2 linked regions of the Macaca fascicularis genome follow. The protein of the gene in region 1 interacts with the protein of each later gene in a pairwise test. Links are inferred from orthologs where the notes say so. Each region holds a gene or a part of one and is shown in the gene's direction. Other genes may lie near its edges.

What was found.
Region 2: the proteins of SIAH1 (region 1) and PEG10 interact in binary tests that used the Homo sapiens proteins (3 or more experiments, as listed by UniProt). The link is inferred for Macaca fascicularis from reciprocal best matches to the Homo sapiens genes SIAH1 and PEG10.

What each region holds. Positions count from the first base shown.
Region 1 is NC_088394.1:44,266,516-44,269,556, reverse strand, and holds the end of SIAH1 (E3 ubiquitin-protein ligase SIAH1), read left to right. Parts: intron 1-499; coding exon 500-1,350; coding exon of another isoform or gene 1,351-1,453; 3' UTR 1,454-2,424; downstream 2,425-3,041. Other genes in the region: LONP2 (lon protease homolog 2, peroxisomal), read right to left, coding at 1,334-1,453. UniProt on the Homo sapiens protein: E3 ubiquitin-protein ligase that mediates ubiquitination and subsequent proteasomal degradation of target proteins.
Region 2 is NC_088377.1:126,682,968-126,686,623, reverse strand, and holds part of PEG10 (retrotransposon-derived protein PEG10), read left to right. Parts: intron 1-498; coding exon 499-1,699; coding exon of another isoform or gene 1,700-2,847; 3' UTR 2,848-3,656.

The sequences.
Region 1 (3,041 bases):
AGTCCTTGGATGCAGACCGTGTGAATACAGAGTGCCGATTTTATCCAGGACTTCACCTGTAACTCCCTATACCTATCAATAGCTGACTCCAAATTAGAAAGAAATAAGAGTAAGGGAGTCTCAGGGAGAGAGTCCTAGCAAAACGGATTCGATTAAACTTCAGTTCCTTGTATAGTTTCTCTAGTTGTTTATGGTCCATCTTCTATTTTAGCATTTATTATTCCATGTAGTCTATCCAAAGACGATTAAGGGAGTTCCAAATGTTTTCCGGAATATTTTGAAAAGAGAGCTTATCCAGTGTACAGATCCTAATAAAGTGCACATTCAGTGTAATTTTATTTTTTAGTATGTTACTTTTTAAATTCTATTTATTTTTCTTTCTCTTTTGCTCAGTAAATTTTGCATGAAACTTTAAGTACTTCTGGCATGTAAACATTATTTGTAAAATAAGTCATGGTTATAATTATTTTTCTCCTGCCTCCTTATGTATTTATTTCAGAAATGAGCCGTCAGACTGCTACAGCATTACCTACCGGTACCTCGAAGTGTCCACCATCCCAGAGGGTACCTGCCCTGACTGGCACAACTGCATCCAACAATGACTTGGCGAGTCTTTTTGAGTGTCCAGTCTGCTTTGACTATGTGTTACCACCCATTCTTCAATGTCAGAGTGGCCATCTTGTTTGTAGCAACTGTCGCCCAAAGCTCACATGTTGTCCAACTTGCCGGGGCCCTTTGGGATCCATTCGCAACTTGGCTATGGAGAAAGTGGCTAATTCAGTACTTTTCCCCTGTAAATATGCCTCTTCTGGATGTGAAATAACTCTGCCACACACAGAAAAAGCAGACCACGAAGAGCTCTGTGAGTTTAGGCCTTATTCCTGTCCGTGCCCTGGTGCTTCCTGTAAATGGCAAGGCTCTTTGGATGCTGTAATGCCCCATCTGATGCATCAGCATAAGTCCATTACAACCCTACAGGGAGAGGATATAGTTTTCCTTGCTACAGACATTAATCTTCCTGGTGCTGTTGACTGGGTGATGATGCAGTCCTGTTTTGGCTTTCACTTCATGTTAGTCTTGGAGAAACAGGAAAAATACGATGGTCACCAGCAGTTCTTTGCAATTGTACAGCTGATAGGAACACGCAAGCAAGCTGAAAATTTTGCTTACCGACTTGAGCTAAATGGTCACAGGCGACGATTGACTTGGGAAGCGACTCCTCGATCTATTCATGAAGGAATTGCAACAGCCATTATGAATAGCGACTGCCTAGTCTTTGACACCAGCATTGCACAGCTTTTTGCAGAAAATGGCAATTTAGGCATCAATGTAACTATTTCCATGTGTTGAAATGGCAATCAAACATTTTCTGGCCAGTGTTTAAAACTTCAGTTTCACAGAAAATAAGGCACCCATCTGCCTGCCAACCTAAAATTCTTTTGGTAGGTGGAAGCTAGACACATGAAGGTAAATGAAAGGAAAGGCTGTTAAATACAGGAAACAGTTGCATGTAGTAACACTAATATATTTAAAAATAAGTCAACAGTAAACCACTGAAAAAATATATGTATATACACCCAAGATGGGCATCTTTTGTATTAAGAAAGGAAGCATTGTAAAATAATTCTGAGTTTTGTGTTTGTTGTAGATTGATTGTATTGTTGAAAAATAGTTATTTTGTTTTGTTTTTGCGTGGGAGTGTGTGCGTGCGTGGGTGTGTGCGTGTTTGGGTTTTTCTCCTTTAACTGACAAGCCATCTTGAGTGGTCATGGGCCACTGCTTTTCCCCTTTGTGAGTCAATACATAGTGCTGCTGTGTGCTTTTTTGTGTGTGTATTTGCTAATTTTTATTAATTTTAGTTTTTCATTAAATAAATTTGACTTTCCTTTCTGTAATTCAGGTTTTTCTTCACTTTTTTTGTACCATTTTAAAGTTAGTGTCTTTTGATATGCATACTTGTTATGGTAAAAGTTTGTAACATGTGTTCAATATTTTCTTTTCCCCCATTAATCAGTTCATTAGAAATATTTTAAAATCAGCTACTTTGTGAAGCTATGAGTTCCAGAAAGTAAAGGTGACATCGGAAAAATGATCAAAAGCTATTTAAAGCATCTGTAAGATGGTCTCTCTCTTTCTCTCTTCTACGGATGAGTCACACCTTTGAGCTTAATCTTTGAAAGGTTAGAGAATAAATTGATTTTTATAAGTACTGCAAATCAGGCTTTTGTTTCCTTTTTCAAATATCTTGGATAAATCACATGTTTAAAATTTGTTCTTGTATTTATTGGTTTTGCAAAAGAAGGCATCGTCATGCACAGTATTTGTAATTAAAAGCAAATCATTTGTTTAAAAAGGCAGTTTGCAAAAAAATGTTTTTGGTCTTTTATAATTCTCATTAAAAGAATTTCTGGCAAATTAAAAAAATCTTACTGTGTCTGCTTTAGCTCTAAGTTTGATAAAATCCAAAGTTATTTTCCTGTTTCATTCCGTACTTTAATTATATAGCAGAAAGCTGTGTGTTGTCATTTTTAAGTGTGGTAGAGTTATACTCTAAATCACAGCAAATAACTGGGTATATGGCTTCTGGATTACAGTCTTTCCCATGCTCTGCCCCTCTTGCCCACATTTTGATTCTTACAACTGTCAGGAGAATGACTAAAATGCTGACCACTTTTCACCTCTTTAAAAAAGCACAATGAAATAATAAATTTACTATTTCATAGCCTAGTGGTTAAGAGCCTTGGTTCTGCAGCCAGACTTCAGGCACCTAAGTGCCAGTCTCGGCTCTACCCCACTAACCAGCTGTGTGACCTTGGGCCCCAGTTTCCTAATGTGTAAAGTGGGGTTAAATTATGGTAGCTACTTAAAAAGTTTTAATGGGGTACAGGTATGTTACCTCAAACAGTGCTTTGTTCATATCAGCATCCAGTGAATGTTAGCTACCATTATGCCTTTAGTACCATGTAGTTAACTTGCTAATTACTTTGAGGCACATGGCAAGATTCTGAAATTGCCTTCTGAATAGTGAAAGATAATTTTGT
Region 2 (3,656 bases), on another chromosome or scaffold:
GATGAATACATGCATTGTGATTTTAATACTCCCCTCTTTTTTAATTAGCTTCTATTAGTTGTAGTATTAACTATTTTTGGCCTAGCTTCTTTAGTAAGAAAAGTTATTATTTTGGCTTTAATTTGCATAATTGATTTGGTATCTATGTTTGCCTTGAAGTTTCTTCCTCTGTTTCAATACAAAACTACTTGTTTAGAGGGTTTCAACATTCTTTTATAGTTTATAAAGGTAAGCATGCTGTTGATGATGTATTGTTGAATCATAATGAACAGGTGGCCTTTGAGGAAGACAAGGTCATTTGAACATCAAAAAGTAGTTTCCTTTTTGTTATCTATGGTACTGATTGATACTTTTCTCTTGAAAGTTTGTTTTCTTTGTTCGCTAATTATTAAAGTAAGTGCATAGAGCAAGGGATAATTTAAACACTAAATCCTTTGTGTCTGCATTTTGCTGCTTTGAATCTATAAGTTGGATTTATACATTTATCTTTATTTACAGAAATAAGCGGATTTTGAAAACAAAAAAAAGAAGGAGTGGAAGAGGGGGCCAGGATCCAGGCCTCCATCCCCACAGAAGTGAAGCTACAGCTGGGAGGTCTCCTCCCACCCCAACCGTCACCCTGGGTCCCGACTGCCCACCTCCTCCCCCTCCCCCTCCCCCCAACAACAACAACAACAACAACTCCAAGCACACCGGCCATAAGAGCGCGTGTGTCCCCAACATGACCGAACGAAGAAGGGATGAGCTCTCTGAAGAGATCAACAACCTAAGAGAGAAGGTCATTAAGCAGTCCGAGGAGAACAGCAACCTGCAGAACCAGGTGCAGAAGCTCACAGAGGAGAACACCACCCTTCGAGAGCAAGTGGAACCCACCCCTGAGGATGATGATGATGACATCGAGCTCCGCGGTGCTGCAGCAGCTGCTGCCCCACCCCCTCCAATAGAGGAAGAGTGCCCAGAAGACCTTCCAGAGAAGTTCGATGGCAACCCAGACATGCTGGCTCCTTTCATGGCCCAGTGCCAGATCTTCATGGAAAAGAGCACCAGAGATTTCTCAGTTGATCGTGTCCGTGTCTGTTTCGTGACAAGCATGATGACCGGCCGTGCTGCCCGCTGGGCCTCAGCAAAGCTGGAGCGCTCCCACTACCTGATGCACAACTACCCAGCTTTCATGATGGAAATGAAGCATGTCTTTGAAGACCCTCAGAGGCGAGAGGCTGCCAAACGCAAGATCAGACGCCTGCGCCAAGGCATGGGGTCTGTCATCGACTATTCCAATGCTTTCCAGATGATTGCCCAGGACCTGGATTGGAACGAGCCTGCGCTGATTGACCAGTACCACGAGGGCCTCAGCGACCACATTCAGGAGGAGCTCTCCCACCTCGAGGTCGCCAAGTCGCTGTCTGCTCTGATTGGGCAGTGCATTCACATTGAGAGAAGGCTGGCCAGGGCTGCTGCAGCTCGCAAGCCACGCTCACCACCCCGGGCGCTGGTGTTGCCTCACGTTGCAAGCCACCACCAGGTAGATCCAACCGAGCCGGTGGGAGGTGCCCGCATGCGCCTGACCCAGGAGGAAAAAGAAAGACGCAGAAAGCTGAACCTGTGCCTCTACTGTGGAACAGGAGGTCACTACGCTGACAACTGTCCTGCCAAGGCCTCGAAGTCTTCGCCGGCGGGAAACTCCCCGGCCCCGCTGTAGAGGGACCTTCAGCGACCGGGCCAGAAATAATAAGGTCCCCACAAGATGACGCCTCATCTCCACACTTGCAAGTGATGCTCCAGATTCATCTTCCGGGCAGACACACCCTGTTCGTCCGAGCCATGATCGATTCTGGTGCTTCTGGCAACTTCATTGATCACGAATACGTTGCTCAAAATGGAATTCCTCTAAGAATCAAGGACTGGCCAATACTTGTGGAAGCAATTGATGGGCGCCCCATAGCATCGGGCCCAGTTGTCCACGAAACTCACGACCTGATAGTTGACCTGGGAGATCACCGTGAAGTGCTGTCATTTGATGTGACTCAGTCTCCATTCTTCCCTGTCGTCCTAGGGGTTCGCTGGCTGAGCACACATGATCCCAACATCACATGGAGCACTCGATCTATTGTCTTTGATTCTGAATACTGCCGCTACCACTGCCGGATGTATTCTCCAATACCACCATCGCTCCCACCGCCAGCACAACAACCGCCACTCTATTATCCAGTAGATGGATACAGAGTTTACCAACCAGTGAGATATTACTATGTCCAGAATGTGTACACTCCAGTAGATGAGCACGTCTACCCAGATCACCGCCTGGTTGACCCTCACATAGAAATGATACCTGGAGCACACAGTATTCCCAGCGGACATGTGTACTCACTGTCTGAACCTGAAATGGCAGCTCTTCGAGATTTTGTGGCAAGAAATGTGAAAGATGGGCTGATTACTCCAACGATCGCACCTAATGGAGCCCAAGTTCTCCAGGTGAAGAGGGGGTGGAAACTGCAAGTTTCTTACGATTGCCGAGCTCCAAACAATTTTACTATCCAGAATCAGTATCCTCGCCTATCTATTCCAAATTTAGAAGACCAAGCGCACCTGGCAACGTACACTGAATTCGTACCTCAAATACCTGGATACCAAACGTACCCCACATATGCCGCATACCCGACCTACCCAGTAGGATTCGCCTGGTACCCAGTGGGAAGAGACGGACAAGGAAGATCACTATATGTACCTGTTATGATCACTTGGAATCCACACTGGTACCGCCAGCCTCCGGTACCACAGTACCCGCCGCCACAGCCGCCGCCTCCACCACCGCCGCCGCCGCCGCCTCCATCTTACAGTACCCTGTAAATACTTGTCATGTCCTTCAGGATCTCTGCCCTCAAAATTTATTCCTGTTCAGCTTCTCAATCAGTGACTGTGTGCTAAGTTTTAGGCTACTGTATCTTCAGGCCACCTGAGGCACATCCTCTCTGAAACGGCTGTAGAAGGTCAGGGCCACCCTGGACTGGCACACATCCTAAAGCACCAAAAGACCTTCAACATTTTCTGAGAGCAACAGAGTATTTGCCAATAAATTAGCTCTCATTTTTCCACCTTGACTGCCAATCTAACTAAAATAATTAGTAAGTTTACTTTCCAGCCAGTCCTGGAAGTCTGGGTTTTACCTGCCAAAACCTCTGTCACCATCTAAATTATAGGCTGCCAAATTTGTTCTTTAACATTTACAGAGAAGCTGATACAAATGCAGGAAATGCTGATTTCTTTATGGAGGGGGAGACAAAGAGGAGGAGGAGGACATGACTTTTCTTGCAGTTTCGGTACCCTCTTTAAATCACTGGAGGACCGAGGCCTTATTAAGGAAGCCAAAATTATCGGTGCAGTATGGAAAGGCTTCCGTGATCCTCTCGCTGCACCCTTAGAAACTTCACCGTCTTCAAACTCCATTTCTGTGGTTCTGTTAATTCTCAAGGAGCAGCAACTTGACTGGTTCTCCCAGGAGCAGGCAAAACCCTTGTAACATGAAACATCTCAGGCTTGAAAAGAAAGTGCTCTCTCAGATGGACTCTTGCATGTTAAGAGTGTGCCTTCACATCGTGGTGCAAATCACATGTACCCAGGACTCCGGCTTTGACATAACACCTTACCATCATCATGCC